Linked DNA regions of Astyanax mexicanus. The protein of the gene in region 2 interacts with the protein of the main gene of each other region in a biochemical or structural test. Links are inferred from orthologs where the notes say so. Each region holds a gene or a part of one and is shown on either strand. Other genes may lie near its edges.

Region 1 (10,803 bases), on a different chromosome or scaffold from region 2:
AAACAGGAATTGTGCTTTAAAATTTGTGAAAAGAAGTAAGTTTCCTGAAGAGGATTGTTATTATTATTTTTCACATTTAGAAAATCACCAAATACGTCGTTTTAACAGGGGCTTTTTTTCATCAGACTGTATATTTTGGATTTGTACATAAGTATTAGAATAAATCATACTGAACTAACTGGTTTTTACTCAGTGTTTCGTTACGTTCCGTCAGGCGCGTTAGTGGGTTTATAGATATTCAATACTAATCTGAATTCAAATGGACTTGCATTAGAGTTTCATTAATTCTAGATACACTGCAATGACAGTTTCTATTATAAATGTTTTTTTTTTCTATAGCCTATGCTGCGCAAATAACGCAGAACATGTAAACTTGTTGGTGTGTTTTTTAGGCTGCTGTGTGTTGTATATTTGCCAGTCTTTGGTGGACTACATGTGTACATGTTAACTTAGCTGGTGTTGAGTTAAATGTATGGGAGTTGAGCGCGTGTTGTGTGTTTATTTTAATCAGAAAGCTTCTTCTCCCCCCTCTCTCGCGCTCCAGCGCGCGGGGCAGATCAGTCCGAGGAGTTCCACTTCCCGTAAGCCACGCCCACTCCACGGCCTGATGGCGTAGATCTTCCGACCCTTGTGTTTCCTTATATGGTCATGTAGGTGCCGCTTTCCGGCATGATGTCACCCTTTACCAAGTTTGGGCAGAGAAAGACCATTAATGTTGCATGATAAGGACTGAATCAGATTTAACAAAGGAACTAGTGCAGTTCACTGGCTTTCTAATCACAGCTTTTAAAACCCGAACCTTAAAGGCAGCTTTATTTATTGATTTATTTATTTGTTTAAGTATGTTAGAATTGTTTGATATACCTGTTCTGTTCAGGTTAATGTTAATATTAAACGTAAACCACTCTATAGTATTCTAGGATCCTTTAAAGACTGCTTAGGTGAAGGAGACAAAGTACTTTCTTTTACATTAGGACAGGGCAGTGTAGCCTACCTGCCTTCTTCTCCTTCAGCCTAATTGTTCCACATTACAGTTGAACACGTTTTATAAAGTGCTCATGAGTTTACACTGGTGTATTTTACTGAACAGCAGAGGGAGTGTTTACTCCAGGATCAAACTAGACTCCGGCGTGACCTAGCAAAAGAGGGACAACGGCGCCCTCTAGTGGCACATTGTCCCAGGTTTAAAAAAAATGTCGTTTTAAAGAAACTGGTGTGTATGAGGTTGTTCTTGTAGAAGACCTTGTCCAAAGTACATTTTATAGAGTAGAGCTGCAGGATCATCATATACCTACATGTTCAAAGACGAAATGTAATATTGATTATAATAGCAGTAGGCTTTAATCTGATGCAATTCCTGCTCTATTGTTGAAACACATGATAAACAATACTTTTTGATAGTGTAGATGCATTGCTGTTTCATTTGTATACATTATATCGTATTTTGTTTTGTTTATTGTTTGGTCTTTAAACAACTTATTAATCTGTTGTTTATTTCTAATGTATTTATTTGCTATTTGTGACTACCTGCCAAGTTCAAATGAATACCTCAATATTACTGGCTATCTCTGTAGATACAGTTAGCCAATACCTAATGTTAGTGTATATCATATATTAATGTTACACTACACTGTGAATTTATAACTACTATACAACACTTGAGGAACTGAAATAGTGCTGAAGGCTGCATGTCCCACTTTAGTACTCATTTAAATGTTAAATATATATATAGTTATTTTAATTGAAAATGTCTGTGCTACATAGTCTTTACTATAGTAGTGTGTAGTCTGTTTATTCTGTGTGTAACTTTTGTAAAGTTGTAAGGTGGACGTTGTTGGAGCATGGCTACACTAGACAAACCTGAACCTTCAAGACTGTGTGTGTGAAGTGAAGCATTAGTCAATAGTGGCTCTGAATGACATGTTTCAACATGTTTGTTCCATTTACAGACACAACAGACCCATTGTTTTCGTTTGACATCCTTTATTACAGTTCATAAATATTGATTAGTTTCTGATCAGCTCAGAAAACAAACATAAAAAATTACGTAGCACTTTTTATTACAAATGGTAAACTTAAGTACTCCCTGTTGATCTTATTTACAAATAACAATGAGTGAAACCTCATTAAGAAACTTTTTAGAAAAAGAAACTTCGAAAGAAAAGTCGAAAGCTTGACTAACTCAAATAACGTCGATTTGATTCATCTGAAGAACAAAAATGACATTTTGCAACTCAGAAGTCAGGCAGCTCTTATCAAAGGGTCTTTTTTTAACTTTATAGGACGCAACTTCCTGCTGTGGCCCGCCAACATGGGCCGAGCAGAGTCCCTAATGCAGTTCTCTTTTTCTAATACTGAGTGCGCCTGTACGCTTCGGTCCATGCACGACTTGGTCAAAGTGAACAAGGTTGAGTCTCTTTCTTTCGTCATTAGAAAACAACAGTAATAAAAGTAACAGAGTGAGTCTTTCATGCTGTCTGGTGCTGTGGACCCAGCTTGGTGGAGGTCTGGTAAGCTCCACATCTGGACGTCCTTTTGCACGGCACGCGGCCAGACAGGGTCCCCGGGACAGTCCTGGAGCACTTTACGGCTTCACCGGCCCCCCGTCGCCGCAGGCTCTGGTGCACAGCCCCTTTTACACAAGCGTGTCCTTTCAGCCCGTTTGTCCCTTCTTTCCTCGGCGCCCTCTCTGCAGCTCCTTGGAGTTCCCGCTTCAGAAGGTCTGCAGCTGCTGCGTCAACATCAGCTGGCAGCCGCTGTTCACGTGGTTCATGACTTTCTGCTTGAGCTGGGCCACCTGCTCGCGCAGCATGTTGGCCGTAGACGCGAGCTCGGAGTTCTGAGACTTGAGCGTCTTCACCTTGTCCTCCAGGCGTGAGATGCGCTCCAGCTTCCTCTTGCGGCACTTGGACGCGGCGATGCGGTTACGCATGCGCTTGCGCTCGGCCTTGATGCGCTCCTGGCTCTCCATGTCGATGGGCGACAGCGGCGGGGTCTCCCCGGGCATCTCGGGCACCGTCTGCGGCTCCTCCTTGAGTGCCTGTAGCCGCGGGTGCTGGACGGGGAGCGGCTGTGGCGCCTGTTGCTGTTGTGGTGGAGGCGCCAGGGGCTGAGGCGCCGTGGTGGTGTAGCTGACGGCAGGGAAGCCCGGGGCCGCGCTGCTGCTGATGGCAGGGTTAAAGGTGCTCAGGTCCGCGTAGACCGGCGGGTCGGCGCGCGGCGGGGCCGAGCTGTAGGCTGCCGCGGCCGGGGCCGCCGCCATGGAGCTGTTGACCGTGGTGCTGGTCTGAGGGGGCGCCGAGGTCCCGGGCATGTGCTGGTGGTGCAGCTCGGCCAGGGCCCGCACGAAGCCCTCCGCGAAGCCCTCCTGCTCGTCCGTGACATTCTTGGGGCACAGGAACTGGGTGGGCGTGGGCGTGGTGGTGATGAGCCCGTTGCTGGACTGGATGATGAGCCGCTCGAGCTCCGGAGAGGCCAGCTTAAGCAAGCCCACGTCCGGCGACGTGAGGAGGTCGCTGGCCTTGGCCCGCAGGTGCGGCTTGAGCGTGCCGGCCGGGTCGGTGAGGTTGAGCGTCATGCTGTGCTTCAGCACCTTGGCGTTGTATCCGAAAGCGGCGGCGTCGTGCTGCGAAAAGGCTGCGCTCAGCGAGTCGTCGTAGAAAGTAGTTTCCATCTTGGTCGACATAGAAGGAGAAACCAAAACTTTGTCTGAGAGTGGAGGAGCCGTTTCACTCACCAGCGAGCGGTAGAGATCTTCACCACAGCTCTCTCTCACTGTGTGAGGAGTTCAGCTGGAAGTCCGACTCAGAAGCGCTCGCCTCTCTTGGTGAATGAAGTGTTGTCTCTCAGAATAGAAGAGGAGAAGGGCAGGAGCTAGCAGCCGCTTCCCAAACTTCTCGAGCCTCGTCCTCTCTCTCTCTGTCTCTCGTTGTCCCGCGAGAGGAAAAAGTTTGAAAAAAGTTGTAAAAACAGTCGGAACTACGAGGTCTTGCGCCTCTCTCGCGCTGTCAGTCTGTTCACGGGACTACTGTGTGTGTTGTTTCTCTGTTTTAAACTCCTCTCCGCTCTTTCTCTCTCTCTCTCTCTCCGTACCTCCCTCTCCCTGTCCCGTGTGTGCTGTGAGCTCCTCCGCCGCGCTCTCCAACCTTATCTGCCGCCGCTGCCACACTAAAAATAGGGGTCCGATGGTGATGTCATGACCGCGGCCTCTGATTGGCTATGGGCGTCGAGGGGGCCGAGCCGTGGCGCGTTGCCTAGACGACCACCAGAAGATTCTTTCGGCGCGCGGAGGCTCACGGGATGAGGTAATGCTGCGAGTGGACGAGCGCGCGCGCTGCATTGTGGGATTACGTATTGTTTTTGAATATCTGGTTACGCGCTTTAGCTGCTTCAGACTGTGGCGGGACACCAGTGTGTGTGTGTGTGTGTGTGTGTCTATGGGACGGAGCTAGTGTTAGTGTGTGAGGGGAGACCGTGATTTCTGCTCGCTTAAAGATGTTTTAATTACTTTATTATAAGCTCTTTTTATTTGTATGTGTTATTATAGAAGTGAAATATATATATATATATATATATATATATATATATATATATATATATATATATATATATATATATATATATATATATATATATATATATATATGTACAAAATATAACTACAGGCTGATAATGGAACGGGAGAGTCCGGTCTGTGTTCTGTTTTTTAAAGCATAAATAATAAGTGTGGTGACACATAACTCGCCTGGTATTAATAATATAATCGTTAATCATGCCTTAAGGTTTAGAAAGTGTTTTTCTACTTTTCTTTTTTTTTGTTTTGTTCAGGAGATTAATTTCGAAACACGAGCAGTAGTCTGCTTTTGTCGTGGCAGAGTGTGTTTTTACTCACGGTCCCTTCCAGCCAATAGGAGGTGGAGGGGGCGTGGTCTGCAGTGGAGTGACAGCAGGCCACAGAGCAGGTCCAGCTCAGGGAGCCTCTCTAAAGTTCACACAAACAAAAAACGAGAAGCGAGGCTGACGCTTTCACAACAAGCCTGACTAACAAACTCTCGAAATGCAGAGGGACAGAGGAAAGTACAGACATCTGAAACTGTGCTTTAAGGCTGGGGCTGGTGTGTTTATCTGCTCGCGCGAGTCTGACGTGTGGGCTCAGCTGCAGTTGTTTTGGTTTCTGTTATCAGTCTGCGCAGGACCTTCACAGGAAAAGCACCAGAGGAGCTCTGAAGTGAAACTTGTCCCCGGTCTCTGGCACATTTCTGTTTCACTGCTCCACTGAACCCAGAGCTCAACACACACACACCACGTCAGCATGACGTTGCACTCAGGTTTCCTCGTGGCAGTCCTCAGTCGATGTTCACCAAAACCCACTGTTTAGACCTCCTGCTCAGTCCTCACCCTTAATCTGCCCTAAACCCTGTCATTATTTTAGCTTATATGGTTAAACGGCATCAACAGGCAGTTGTTAAAGTTAAGGTTGAGATTTAAAGGTTCTAATTTGTGACTGAATGCAGCAAAATAATATTTTTACTCACTTATTGTGAAATTAACATTCACTATTTTACATTTATTACAATACTTTTCAAAACAGACTATTTTAGATTTAAGATCAACGTGGTACATACACACCAACACATATATACATTATATTTTGTATATCTTTATGTTTCATAATATGACTACAAAGAATATAACACATGTATAACTCTGTTATACCATGTAATACAAAAAGATTATATCCGATTGTAATCTATCTTCCTCTATCCTGCTATTTCCCTTTGGTCTCCTTTTGGCCCTGTATTTTTTACCTACTTCTATGTCTTCTATTACGAAATGAACATCATTATTGTATAAGTCACTTTGGACAAAAGCATCTTCCGAGTGTAATGTAATATATACATTCTCACACATGTAAAGATAAATGTGTATATGAATGAATCTGGTTATTTCATAGCTCTTATATTTGGCACAGTCAATGTGACATATTGACAGTCTGTGTAATATTCTGTCTTGTATTGTGTTTGTTATCACACAAAACACACTTTACTGATCAAGGACCTGATAAAAAAACTTTCTTAACTATAAAACATTTTAGAATGTTTCTGTTGGTTTATTTATCATGGCATTGTAATAAAGTAGATAAATAATGTAAAAATAAAAGTGATTTTATTTAATCAACATTTGCAGTACCAAAGAGTGTGTTTGGTTTACTATTTTGTCTTTTCAGATATTTGTATTTCTATTTCTATTTGTTCAGTGATGCTGTGCAGCACGACTGACTTGTGGTATTTTGCATTTAAACAATAAATGTAGGTCAATCCAAAATCTATTGCCCAGCCCCTTTTTCCTAATGGCCTTATGCTGAAACAAATCTACTGTACAAAACAAAGTGTATTAGCAAGAAGAGGTTCAGAAATCTGAAACACAGCCATGCTGCTCATACATAATCCTTATTCTGATCCGCAATCGAAAGCCTTGGGCAAGTTGTTAATCATTTCTGTTTCAGCGTTGGATCTAGGCTGAAGTGTGTTGGGGGGAATCACTGCTGAATGGAAAATTCGGTGCGCACTAATGCTAGATGTACAGATTAGCAGAGATAAAGAGAGAAGAAGGAAGTCCTATAAGATTTTTGGTTGAAATAGAAAGAAAGAAAATGAAAGCTCTGTGGCCTGCTGGGGGCTGTTGGCAGACTAGCAGCTGCCAATCAAAGGATTATCGTCATTATGTTTAGCTGAGGTTCATATTGCTGTGGATCCTGCCCTTAGGTTTGGGACCCTCATGTAAAAGTAAAGCTTTTTCCAAAACATGCCTGTATCTGACTGCCTTTGATTGCTTGTTGATGAAGATTAGAACGAAAGTAGGCTTTTAAATCCACTCGTTTGTGGCTTTGTGGTTGACTGGGCTTGTCGGGACAACTTTTGAAGAAGCTCTGTGTGTGTGTTTGTGTGTGTCTGTGTGTACTCTTGAGATTTAAATTGTTGCTATGCTTATTTAAGGTATCATAGTTGCTGTAAATAAGTATGATTAACAATACATCCAGACTGGTAATGTTTAATGTGTCATACACATTTATTAGCAGCTTATTTTGTTCTACTGTCCGTTTCAGATGCATTTCCATTGGCCCTGCGCTTGTCTAAAGGTCAGATGAGTTTTATGGGCATGTGAATCTGTGAGACAAAGGTCAAGTGCTAGAGCAGTATCCTCTTATCCTGCATCCTCTTTCAGCACAGCACAATGCTTTCCCTAGGACAGAAACTGGAATGCCCAGTACTAGTTCAACATGGAAACTGAGACTTCTCTGTTTTGAAGTAGCTCTTGTTTTTTTTTTTTTTTTGGCCTTGTCCAGCACAGTCCAGAAATTGTAAAATGGGCTTAACAGTGAGGAACAGCTTCCCAGCATGCCTTTTCCCTGTTTCCATGTTACTTTAGTTTTTTTCTTTTTGTTTTACTGGTTATGTTTGATTGTGTGAGAACAAGATTTATTTCAGACATTTTAGTTTAAATGTAAATAGTTTTAATGAAAAGTAATTTAATAATTTTTGAATTTAATATAAACAATTATATCATATTTAGTAAAAATGACTACAATATATAAGCAAACATTTAAAGAGTAGCACACAAGCAATTTTCATTTATTTGTAAGTACATTTATTGTGTTCATGACAGGCATACCGATTATAACATTCGAAAGATGTTCTGTGATACAGAAAAATTACGTTTGTGACTTTGTGGTTTTAAAATCCTATTTACCACCCAGTAAATAAAATGACAAGCTCTGTTTCTATTTGCTGGTTAACGATGCAGTGTAAATTAAGTATTTTATTCTAAGGCATCTTTAATACCCGTATTTCCTTAAATAACAAAACTTAAAATAGATTTTCACAGGCAAACCTGTATTGATGCAGTCTAAGCTCAGTTATCTGAAACATGGGTGAGTGAAACATAAACATGCGTCAGGTGGACATGTTTAAATTGACAATAAACAAAATGACTGCTATATATAGATGGGTTTGTGAAGGGAATTCTTGGTCTTCAGTCTAGCAGGACAGAGTGTAAATGTGTCATGTTTATGTTGTCAGTAGTTATATGTCTCTATGTCTGTGCCACCCTGGTTGGTCTGGACCTTAAAATATACCCACTCCTTAGCTTTTCTACTTACACCCATGGAAAAAGTCATTATTTATACATTTGTGTGTACTGTATACTATAACGTTTAATAGGGCTGTAGTGCTAATATCAGGTATCCATAGCTGCGGCACGTGTGTTTGCTTTGACATACGGCCTGCCATTAGCTAAGGGGGACTCTGTATTTGGAGATCCATCTCACTGGTGGTCCCCACGTCTGTGAGGAGGGCCTAGTATAAATGTGGTTCATCAACTTCCCTTAAAGACAGTGCCAGAGCAATTAACATTTACTTCATGCTGAAGCTGTGAAAAACGAACACACAGAAACAGATTCAAGTTAGCATTAAAACGCATGCAGTTTTCAGGATTATTCGTATTTTTAAAGCTAAATAAGTATTCATGTTAAAGAGGCACCCTTTTTATGGAGTGAATTCTGCTACTGTAAGGTGCATCCATTGCTGACACAGGTGTTCAACTGAACAAACACAGCTTGTATAGTCTTCATAGAAAAGCATTGCCAGTAGAATTGGAAGCTGTAGAACAACCTCACTTGAGCCTATAAGGTTACCATGGGCAATGCCAATCTGCAACCAGAGAATATTAAGTCTTCCAGCATTGAGCTGTGGTGCAGTGGAACTGTGCTCTCTAAAGTGATGTAGATTCATCCAGTACTTGTGGATGGAGTGTTGGTGAAACATTTGAGATCCAGATCTAATCATTCAACATCAGATCCTGACCTTACTTGTGCTTCTGTGATTGAATGATTATTACAGTAAGGCTCTAATATCAATGTAAAGCCTTTCTATAACAATAGAGACCACTACTGCAGCAAAAAGAGATTAAAATGAATTAACATTAATACTGGGTCAAATTACTTTAACATATAGAAGAACACAGATCAGTGTTAACCTCTAATTAAAAGTATGTTTTTATGTACTTATGTTTTACAGTTTTGTTTGATGTGGGGGTGATTTTTTTGCCAGTGCTACTTGGCACTGGTAAATGTTTCTTTTAAATTGTTAAAGAATTTTTTTTCATTATATTTGCATTATAAGTTTTTATTTTTTAAATTTTCTTGAAAAATTTAAGCCATTTAAACATGTCCAGGAATTCCCTGTTTACCCTGTCATCTTGAGTAACCGCCCCTTTAAGAAAGTGACATCACTGACATCACAACCATCACAACCCTGTTTTCAAGGCACTTGCAGCATGTTCAGCAGTTACTAATATTTCACTTTTATAGCACTTTATATTTATCATATTGGCTCCATATTTGCTTGAGGTAAAGTATAATCTGTCAAAAATGCCAGTTTTCACCATAATAGTCCACCATAATGGAACAACTTTTTTGTACTTATTATATTTTAATTAAAATAGTACAAAAGTCATACTTAAATTGTACATTTTAGTACAGTAAGTGTACTTAACTGTACTAAAATGGAACTATTCTAAATATAAGTAACATTATAAATAGTATGGTTAAATGTTATAAGTAACGGCTTCATGTATGTAACCCCATGTTTTAAATATGTTTACAGTAAAACTGTAATACATTTTTACAGTTTTACAACTGTATCACTATTATACACCAGGTATATAAGAATTGAGGTTAAATATATTTACATTAGAGTAAAAATATGCTTCTTGTTTCTGTCTTTTGTAAATAGCACACTTCTAGTGTACTTCGTTGGGTATAAAAAATATATATTTCCTAAAATGGTCTACATATTTACTTTATTTATTTTTTTTAAATGTAGTAATTTAATTTACTTTCTAAAAAGTTACATGATACATTGTACTTTAAGTGAACTACTGTAACAGCTGTTTTTAACACACTTTGCTAAAAATGTACAAAAGTATATTTGGAAATAAGTATTTTAGAAGTATATTGAATTACATAAAACTAAAAGTGTACTTCATAGCAGTAATACACTAAATTGTACTTTTTTAAAAAGTATAATTCAAGTTTACTTTCAAACATTTGATGAAGCATAATTTTAATGTACTTTTAATACATTTTAAGTAAGTACATACATCTGTTAGTATATTAACAGCATACTTAGATATTTCTCAATATGTTTTAAGTACAATTAAGTATATATGTTTTTCACTAGGGTAGTGCAAGTCCTTGTCTGTGAAAATGGCCCATATGATGTCATCCAATTCCATCAAGCTGCATTTTACAGCAAAGTCTTATTTTTGACAGTCATGTAACAGAGTACACGTGAACCCATATTTTTATTTATTAGTATAACAAGACTCTTGTGTCTTTTGTTGAGCCGGTTTATCAGAGACCATTTGTTCAGAGCTCGGCATGTTCAGTGCTCTTTCCTGTTTTAATACCCGCCTGTCTAAATACTCATAAAAGCCTAAAATGGTTCCAGGCTGGTGTCTGTGTCTGTAATTAGTGTATGGTAGTTCATTGCCCTTCAGCCCATGCTAAGAAATCACCTAGCTCCTAATGGAGGAGAGGTCAAAGGCAACGGAGTAATCCTGTCATATCTGAGTCCATTGTCCGGGTGTGGCGGCTACCTTAACGGCTGTCTCCCGCCGTCTTCTGGTGTAAATCAAAACACTGGCGCTGTTGCTGGACAGAGAGAACTAGTGAGAGTGAGTGAGAGAGACAGAGAGAAAGGGAGAGTGGGGTCTATGTAATATAAGGCATAAGGCTTAGTTCAC
Region 2 (10,698 bases):
TATTGTGGGTAAAGGCATACCGGCCCTCTCCGTCTTTGCAGTAGGGGCAGGTGCAGGCCTCCCTGCGGGTGCGGCGGCTGGGCTGCGTTGGGCTTGTGTCCAAACTCTGATCCAAAACTGTACAGTCGTCCAGACTCTCCCCGCCAGCTCCCCCTTGATCACCTGAACACACAGTACAATACAAGGACAATATATTTTTGTTTTTACATTTCTAAGAAAACAAAATCTAATTTGGATTAATTTAATTTGTAGTTCAGTTTAAAAATCCATCCCCACAATCTGAGAATCATTTATACAACATTGCAGCCAAAAGGCTTTCCCTACTGTTTCTTTTAATACTTTCTGCTTTAATAAATCAGTTCCTTTTTCCCATTTTCTCCCGATTAATTTCAGCTGCTAAATATTTTGTACATCCCTTATCATTCCAACCCACAACCCTGCAACAGTAATACTGACCTGCATTGTTGGCCACAGCGATGGGAACCCCTTGTATTTGGTGCATCTGCAGCCCAGCACTGGCCAGGTTGATGGTCTGCAGGCCAGGCAGCTGCATCGTGGTGGCGGTGGTTCCAGTCTGTGTCAGCTGTGGGAGCGAATGCACCGGCGCCAGTGTGATCTGAGCTCCGGCAGGACTCTGCAGCTGGACCGTCTGCCAGCTGACCTGCCCGTTCGGCCCGACGGTGCGCAGCAGGATGGAGCTGTTGTTTGGGATCATCTGCAGATTCTGGAGCCCATCTTGAGACAGCGTCTGTGTGGCAAAGACCTGCCCGCTGGCAGGCTGGATGGCTTGGAGAGTGGATGTTCCTTGGAAGAGCTGCTGGGGCTGAATGAGGATCTGCTGTTGGGTTTGTTGTTGTTGTTGTTGTTGCTGCTGCTGTTGTTGTTGTTTTCCATCTCTGTTGTCTGACTGTATGGCCTGGATGGGAATTGTGCCAACTGTGGTCTGGAAGGTGTTGCCCGTCAGAGTGTTAGCACGAGAAACCCCGCCGCTGCATGACATCACGGCTTGTGTAGTGGACGTGGTTGCGCTGGTGTGATATTCAGTGGCTGTTGAGACGATTGCCTGTTGGACAACCTGCTGACCAACACCTGAAGTTCCATCATCAGCTTTAGCACCAGCAGCCTGGCCAGCACTGACAGGAAGTAACGTTATGCCACCGTTGAGCGACATGGGCACGTTAGCCAAAAACTGTGTCTGACTGGGCAGAACAGTGTTGCCCAGTGCCAGGTTCTGAAGAGGAATGGCCTGCTGAAGAAGACCTGGCACAGTCAGGATGTTGCCAGCTCCAGTATTCTGGCCGGCCGACGTTGCGATGAGCTGCTGCCCACCATTGGGCGAAGACACGAGCTGAAGCTGCCCTGTTCCTGCAGCAGAAGCATCCTGGGTAGTCTGGGCAAACTGCAGCTGTTGCCCGTCCACTGTCTGGAACTGTGGAATGACCTGATACTGGATGTTGGGCATCACACCAGAGATGGTGGTCAGCAGCTGCTGGCCTTGTATGCTGGGTGCTGATGCCACTATATACTGCTGCTGCTGTTGCTGCTGGACACCGGAGGTCACGATAGTTTGGTTTTTATCCTGAACGATCTTCTGAGAGACGTTATTCCCGGAGGCAGTGGTCGTCTGTACACCTTGAGAAACTATCTGCCAGCCGTTGGTGGCGTGAGATACCTGGGTGTGGGTTAAATCATTCCGATGGACCTGAAGCTGCTGTTCAGCTGCGTCGTTCTCGTCTATCCGACTGCAAGTCGCCGCCAACAGGGCTAAAGGTGATGGCGGCTGGGCATCCTGTGGGAAGGAGAACCTCAGAATAACTTGATGCATCACATTTTTGATTTAGTAAAATGCAGTGTGGGATAATGTATGATTACACGGAATGTAACGATTAACGATGTAACGAAATATTGATAAATTGTGTTATCACAAAGCAACATAAAATTACGTAAAGTCCTCCAACACTTATTTTAGCTGTTTAGCATTTCCCAACACTGGTCCTAGGACCATTGCACTAAGCAAGTGGTACTTTTTTAGTAAAAAAACAGACCTTCTTAAAGGTTTTGTAAGACAAACAGATAAAGAGCTGTTTGTGTGGGTCAGGTTTTAAGAATTTCTATGTAACTAGTTTACAACATGACATCAAATTTTATTCCAGTAACTTTACATAATTTTTTCCAATGAAGGTGTAAACTGTATTCAAGGTGTAGCGAAATAATTAAAAAAAAATTATATATATACAAATTGTTCTTATTACAGTGCAACAGTGCAGAAGTAAATAAAGCTGTTATTGCTGATTAAGGAATTAGTAATTTCAGTGTTTAGCACTGAGTGTTTGTGTTTACATCATGTACAGCATGTGCCATATAATTGTCCCATATCTTAATCTCCAAATTTGAATTCCTTGGAGTTCCTTCCTTACATGACCGACCAAATACAACGAAACTTCTTCACTTGAAATTAAACAGAGAGTGCAGAGATTTTGGTACATAATAAATAGCTGGTTTAAGACTAATAATAAAAAACAACAACACTTGTCTCAACATATAGCCTTTAAATAACTGAAGAAAATTTTGTATTGGTGGTATAATGGAAAGAACTTGGTGGGGATATAAGCAAGGCGATATATTGCCACTGTTTAAACCAAAATCAATATTGTACAACAAAAAACTATATTCTTAAAATATGAGCGATTCTCAATTATGATTTTTAGTTCTTGTAGATAACTTCAAAATCACATTTATAACATTTATATAATACATAAGATTTCTTAATTCTTTTAAAGTAATAGTAAGCAGCCACCTTCAACCTTACATACAACTTTAATATTAAACATAATACATTTTAAATGTTGTCAACATAATACTAACAATTATTTAAATTTAAATATCCATTAATAAACTCCCAAGAAATATGTGCACTGTTTGATATATGCACTAAAGTAAATAAAAAATGCCTTAAATATGTATTTCCATAAATATATAGAGAAACCAATTACTTAAAAAAACTTAGCTTTAAGAAAACGAGGCTTGCAACGACACACGACTTTTACAACTGCATGTGTTATTTCATCCTGTTGTCTTCAGTATTAATCTACAATGTAGAAAATACTAAAGAATAAAGAATAAAGAAAAAATAAACTAAACGAAAAGGTGTGTGGTCAAACTTTTGCCTAGTACTGTATAACAGCTATAGCTATATCAAATATTTAACAGTTGTATTACTGACCTGGTCTGTTTTGGTGTTTCGCTTTTTACGGAAGTCTCCGTCGCCTTCTCCCATCGCAGCCATTTCATTTCGCTCTGTAGACAAGAAAATATATTTTTAAATCACTTGTATGGTTTACAACTGAGTTATTACTAGTCTTTAATAATTATTATTTAGCTTAAAGAGCAAATAAGACGTTAAACCACTTTTAAGTTGACTTGCTTTTGCAATAGTCCGTTCCACCTTAAAGAGTGCAGCAGTTCCATGGAACTGCTGCACTCTTTAAGGTGGAACGGACAATTCCAAAAAACAAGCAATTTTAAAACAGGCAAATGAAAGTTTTAACGACAAAACACTTGTAAATGAAGTAAAAACACAACAGATTAAATATTAAATAAAGCGATTTACCACCCAAAAAGCTAGTTATCTAACCGCTAGCTACCTTAATAAAGCCATTATGAAAGTTTTTTAGTACAAAAAAACTTAAGGTTCCTTAGCAGGTTAGCTCGCTAGCTAAGCTAGCTAGGTTAGCTAAACTAGCGGTAGCTACAGTAGCGAAGTCTCTGTTAGACACTTTAACTACCCACTCAGTTATTAATTATCCAGTTCTACACATCTAATTCGCATTATAACAGCCTCCGTTTACACTTATCAACTTTTAACCTACTTCAAACCGGTTTCTTCGTACTTTAACTCGCCAACTACAAATCTTCAGAAATCATTTCAGACACTTACAGTCACTGCAGACTAAACCTACCCCACAAAACCGCCCCGAAAAGTGCTTATTATCACGCCTACCTCACCTTAACTCGACTAACTCGTTAAAAACCCGCTTTTAAACCGAATTAACTCAACTTACCGCTCATTTTTTAACACGCAGGAGTTTCTTTTTGGACACACATCAACTTACAAACAACTCAACCGAACTCGCTGCCTGCCTGGAAATGATAGACAGGCGTGGCGAAGGCGGACAGCCAATCAAAACGCCCTCCGGTTTTATCCGAGCCAATCAGAACTGTGCCACCGCCCATGTAGGCCACACCTGAAGCGTTTTCTCGGTTATTATTTGTGTTATTATTATTTTATATAAATTAATACAGATTAATATCTAGTGTTAAAGTAAGCTAGGTTTATAATTAGCAGTAAAGTGTATTAAAACGTGGGATGACGTGGTTGGAAGTAGTAAGCGTATCCAAAAAAGGCGGGAGAACCGTGGCTTAGATTTGATTGGTTCCTCTCGTAGGAAGACTCCGCCCTGTTTGAGAAGTCTTGAGAGATTTTAACCAATCAGAACACAGAGAGCAGGTTATAGGAGCCCGCCTCTTCTCCGTAGCAGCCCTCTGTTACACCTACATGTATGTAGGTTACCCCGCCACCTGGTGGCCGTAAAAAAGGAAGAACCTGCTTTAAATGTTCATGTTTTAGTTTAGTTTTAATGTAATTTAAACTAAGAAAACTAATAAAATATCTACAACTAACTGAAATTGAAATTTTATAACATTTTTATTTTATTATTAGTCATATTATGATTAATAAATATTGATTTGAGTATCAATTTTGCTCAGAATCCAACCAGATAAGCACAGGTTTAGGGCAGGACTGCACAATATAATGTTTAATACTGTCTTTGCAAACTGCAATATAATTTATTTTACTCCAGTTTTACTATATGCACAAAGAGAAAATTAGATTTTGTGTATCTGTCAATACCAATCCCGATCTGATACTCTGGCAATGCAGTAAAAAAAAAAAAAAAAAAAAAAACACATCCAAGTTGTTATTTTTAAATAACCAATTTTTTAAAATCAAAATATACCACTTCATATCACATTTTAAAAGTATTATATTGTACTAGTCTATGCTTTTAAAGAATAATAATTACATACTATAAGACACATTACTATATTTACTTGAAAACATTAAAATCACCAGTGAAAATATCAAACTGTGCACGCATGTGTAAATCATGTGGCCTACCAAACATTCATAAGCTTTTAATAATGGATTATTTAAATGTAAAAAAAAAGAGTCATTGTTAGATTGGCGAATTTTAATTATATTTATATTAGTGGTGTCAGTGACATAAAAATGTACTGTATTAATCACCACAATATTAAAACCATGATATATATATATATATATATATATATATATATATATATATATATATATATATGTATATATATATTTTTTTTTAATGTCATTATTTCGCCCACCCATAGCAATATGATGCATAAGAGACTCCAAGTGGTCCAGAAGAATAAAGTGCTGCCACGAATCCCAGTCATGCACCTCGCTATCAGTCCGAGAGAGAGCACAATTGGTCTTGCTCTCTCTAGGTGTGTAGATGGCGCTTTTTTCCCACATCACTCCAAAGGGTGATATCAGTCAGCACAGGCATCTGTTGGCTCATGTATCAGAGCCGAGTCACTGTGCTTTCTTGTGACCGTGCTCGCTACTCGCTAATGCTGCATTTCCAAGAGGTGGTAGCTGGCTTTACATGTGTCAGAGGAGGCATTGCTAGCCATACCTGTCAAGTCTCCCGTTTTGGCCGGGAAACTACCGTATTTTACTCCTCTTTCCCGCCGTCCTCCCGTATTAGTATTTTCCCGTAAATTTCCCGTATTATACTAAATAAAAAAATATATATTATTGAGGAGACAGGGCACTGACCGCTCTCTTAACCAATCGTGGAGCCGATTCAAGGAGAAAGTCCCGCCTTTCAGGAGAAACAGCCAATCAGCTTACAAAGGAGGGTCAGTGTGGGAAAGCCCCCCGTCGCTGTGAGTTCAGGCAGCTAGTTAGAGCTGCTGATGTTAAAACATACATGGATATACAGCGATTTTTCTAAAAGAAAGGTAACGGTAGGCTAATCATGTAAACTGTGATGAGATTTTTCTGATAGCTGCTTAAAAATACAGCTTGTGACTTTAGAAAAAAATACAGCTTGTGACTCTAGAACTAGAAATGTGGAGAGGACCGAAATTAACTGAACTGATCAGGGGTGGAGTGATCAAAAGAAAGAAGTATTAATTAAAAATTATTGTGTAGGCCCCTTAGGACTAATTTTTACTGATGGAACATATCTGGTCCATGTCCTTTTAGTAAAAGCTCATGATACTATTTTTAGTTCACCTACAGTCATTTTGCAGAATTTGTGCACCCTTTGTTCAATTTTAAATCCATTAAATAAATAAAAAATATATCATATAAAAGAGTGCATTTATTACAAAAAGACATGAAATCTTATATATTTTTTTAAATATATAGAAAAGGGTATTTAATTTGGCTGTATTAAAAGAATGACATATGTAGGAATGTCCACAACATTTCAGATTCTGATAATCTAATTGTAGTGTGTAAGTGGTTCACTTGTGGTTATTTTAGATTTTTTGTAAACCCGTCTTAAAATGTAAGGGATACTGAACCTTCGTTGGGCTGGTGGGACGGCTTTAGGAGTACAGAGGAAAATATCCCTTATTCTTAAATCTAAAACTTGACAGGTATGTTGCTAGCATACCTGTCAAGTCTCCCGTTTTGGCCGGGAAACCCCTACGGTGGCCGAGAAAGCCCAACGCAGTGCAAATTGAAAAGCGCTGCAAAAGCACAAAACACATCCATCAAAATTACAACACAGGCGCAGCAAATAGAAAAACGCGCTGCAAAAAGAAAAACGCGCTGCAAATAGAAAAACGCGCTGCAAATAGAACCACAACACAACGGAAGTGAGTCACAACGGAATTTTCCCGGGGGACCTTAAAAGATGCTGTACCAGCTGTATACAAAGGACAATAAGTGGCAAACAAGCTTCTGAAAAGTAAGTTATGTTTATTACCTGTGATTACCACGGTTGTGTGCATATTATTAAAAGTTCTGCTTCACAAAACGCCTTGTTTGCCACGTATTGTCCTTTGTACACATATTGAAGTCCGAGACGTTACTGAAGACGCAGCTTAGCTGGTACAGTATCTTTTAAGGTCCCCCGGGAAAATTCCGTTGTGTTGTGACTCACTTCCGTTGTGTTGTGGTTCTATTTGCAGCGCGTTTTTCTATTTGCAGCGCGTTTTTCTTTTTGCAGCGCGTTTTTCTATTTGCTGCGCCTGTGTTGTAATTTTGATGGATGTGTTTTGTGCTTTTGCAGCGCTTTTCAATTTGCACTGCGTTGGGCTTTCTCAGCCACCGTAGATCTGGATATACAGCGATTTTTCTTAAAGAAAGGGAACGGTAGGCTAATCATGGAAACTGTGATGAGATTTTTCTGATAGCTGCTTAAAAATACTCGTCTCCGAAATAAAACACACAGATTAAACCTTTTAAAATAAACAAATTTACAACTTGTGACTCAGTTTAACTAGAAATGTGGAGAGGACCGAAATTAACTGAACTGATCAGGGGTGGAGTGATCAAAAGGAAGAAGTATTAATTAAAAATTATTGTGTAGGCCCCTTAGGACAAATTTTTACTGATGAAACATATCTGGTCCATGTCCTTTTAGTAAAAGCTCATGATACTATGTTTAGGTCACCAACAGTCATTTTGCAGAATTTGTGCACCCTTTGTTCAATTTTAAATCCATTAAATAAATAAAAAATATATCATATAAAAGAGTGCATTTATTACAAAAAAGACATGAAATCTTAATTTTTTAAAAAAAGAAAAGGATTTTTAATTTGGCTGTATTAAAAGAATGACATATGTAGGAATGTCCACAACATTTCAGATTCTTATAATCTAATTGTAGTGTGTAAGTGGTTCACTTGTGGTTATTTTATATTTCTTGTAAACCTGTTTTAAAATGTGAGGGATACTGAACCTTCGTTGGGCTGGTGGGACGGCTTTAAGCGTACAGAGGAAAATATCCCTTATTTTTAAATCTAAAACTTGACAGGTATGTGCTAGTAATCGAGTGAGTGCAACTGAGTGGGTGGAATAATCGGCATAGTTAAAAATAAAAATATAATATATAAATATAATAATATAAAAAATAATAATATAATAAAATAGTATAAAAAATATAGTAAAAAAAAAACAAAAACAAATCAAATGTATAGTTTCCACCTGATTCTGATCCTTTGAAAAATACCCGATCTGACCCCGATTTTCAATCCTGTTGCACTGTATTTTTTACCTCTATTTTTTTTTAAATCTCAATATATATTACAGATCAACAAATTATAGTGCAGTGTAAGTTTTCCCCAAAATCATGGGTGAGGCCATGAATATTAATTCACCGATTGACGTACACATGTGCTTTTACTGATCGACTAGTTTTTCTGAGGCTTTTCTTTTACCAGCTACTGTAGACAATAGAGGTTCAGGAAGAGTTTCATGTGCAGCATCATGTACAACTCAAAGAGACTTATTCTATTTCACAAAGAACAAGAAAAAGTGGATTTTATTGGAAGGAGACCTTTAAAATATGCTCGGGACTGAAGCCCCTAAAGTCCATGCCAGGTGCTGCCCCTGGGTGTAGATCACTAATCTTAGGTTTAGATTTAAGTTTAATGTTTGATTTTTGCAGGGATGGACGGAATTATGGCAAAAGAGAGCTTTAAGGGCTAAAAGGGTTTGATTAAAGTTGAATCTTCACTGTTTGTTCAGCTGTTGGAGTGAGGAACAGCAAAATACTGTAAAGCTGGTGTTCAGAGAGCGTTTGCTTGCTAGATTTGCCAGTTCGTTAAGTCAGCCACATGGGTAGAGAATGTCGGCCCCGTCCCAAATTACAAATATTCCCTACCACTAGAGCATTTCTAAAAAATGAACAAACATTTCTACAGTTATTGAATGTTAAATAAGGAGTTATTTATTCTAAAGTATTTCAGAATACAACTGAATTTAGATCAGATGTATAATGGCTTGTACATGTATTCATACCTCTTGAAGTGTTTTACATTTTGTCACATTACAACCACAAACTTAAATGTAGTTTATTGATATTTTAAGTGATAGACCATCAAAGTAGCACATAATTGTGAAGTGAAAAGATACAAGTTTTTTAAAATTTGAATCAAACAAAAATCTGAAAAGTCTTCAGCCCCCTATCACTACTTAGTAGAGACACCTTTCACTGCAGTTACAGCTGCAGATCTTTTGGGGTATGTCTCTACCAGATTTTTGCCTGTTCTTCTTTGCAAAATTGGCACGTTCTTTCATGTTTGCTGTGTCCTCTACACTTCTTATGTCTTTCTTTTAACAATCTTTTTGCGGCTTTCAACAATGCAGATTTCTGCAGCTCCTCCAGAGTGACCATGGGCCTCTTGACTGCTTCTCTGACCTTGCTCGATCTGTCAGTTTGGGTGAATGGCCATGTCTCAGTAGGTTTGCAGTTGTAAAATACTATTTCCATTTTTGGATGATGGATTAAACAGTGCTGCTTGGGATGCTCAAAGCTTGGGATATGTTTTTACAACCTAACCCTGCTTTAAACTTCTCCACAACTTTATCTCTGACCTGTCTGGTGAGATCCTTGGTTTTCATGATGCTGTTTGTTCAGTAGTGTTCTCTTACAAACTACTGAGGCCTTCATAAAAGAGGTGTATTTTATACTGGTACTAAATCACCAATCCTTTGGACTCTATTAACGAATTAAACAACTTCTAAAGGCAGTTGTATTTGGGTTTTATTTAGGGGGTTCAGTGTAAATAAGGCTGATTACTTTTGCACACGTTTTTATTTTATTTGTTTAAAAGTTTTAAAACCATGTATTGTTTTCACCCGACTTCACTATACTTCATTATGTGCTACTTTGTGTTGGTTTATCACCTAAAATCTCAACAACATACATTTAAGTTTGTGGTTGTAATGTGACAAAATGTGAAAAAATATGAACACTTTTGCATGCCACTGTATTGTGCACTATACTCGGGTGAAGGCACGTCATAGGGCGGAGGATGTCATTTGAGATGGTGCTCAAACAATGCTGTGGCCCATTGATGTTAAATACAAAAAAAAAAAAATCGCAGAGTTTCATTCAGGAGATTAAATGTAAGATGTGGATAAAAAGGCTATAAATATCTGTCTAAAACCAATATAAAATGTTTTATTTATTTATAGCAGACAATTGAAAAAAACAACAACAAACAAATCCATTAAAAATGAATCTTGTTATAGTGTATAACATTTATCATAGTTCTGCAGAAATGCAGTTCTTTGCAGAAAAAAACAAAGTGACCTGCTCAGAAAACAACTCTTTAAATACAAAGTGTATATGATGATTTAATTTACTTGTTACTTTTGTTCTATTGGTTCTATATGGACATGTTAATAAATACATTACATGAGTGAAAAAAAATCAGGTTGTAAACTGACTCAACTCAAGATTATTTTGGAAGTGGAAGGACGTTTTAATTCTCAAATTAATTATCTCGGGATAATTATCACTATTGAAAAAAATCAGGTGTTTTTTTTGTCAGCTGCATTACCCGCTCTGTCCTTTAGGTGGAACCAATACGCCTTTCACTGTTATATTTATCTTTTTTTAATCTCAGTCCAAGACA

Evidence for each region. The genes of interacting proteins can lie anywhere in the genome.
Region 1: the proteins of sp1 (region 2) and jun form a complex in vitro, tested with the Homo sapiens proteins (2 studies listed by BioGRID). The link is inferred for Astyanax mexicanus from reciprocal best matches to the Homo sapiens genes SP1 and JUN.

The regions. Positions count from the first base shown.
Region 1 is NC_064408.1:62,904,345-62,915,147, reverse strand, and holds jun (transcription factor AP-1), read right to left. Parts: upstream 4,161-10,803; 5' UTR 3,686-4,160; coding exon 2,714-3,685; 3' UTR 1,964-2,713; downstream 1-1,963. UniProt on the Homo sapiens protein: Transcription factor that recognizes and binds to the AP-1 consensus motif 5'-TGA[GC]TCA-3'.
Region 2 is NC_064431.1:15,803,500-15,814,197, reverse strand, and holds the start of sp1 (transcription factor Sp1), read right to left. Parts: upstream 4,169-10,698; 5' UTR 4,069-4,168; coding exon 4,062-4,068; intron 3,298-4,061; coding exon 3,224-3,297; intron 1,790-3,223; coding exon 457-1,789; intron 163-456; coding exon 21-162; intron 1-20. UniProt on the Homo sapiens protein: Transcription factor that can activate or repress transcription in response to physiological and pathological stimuli.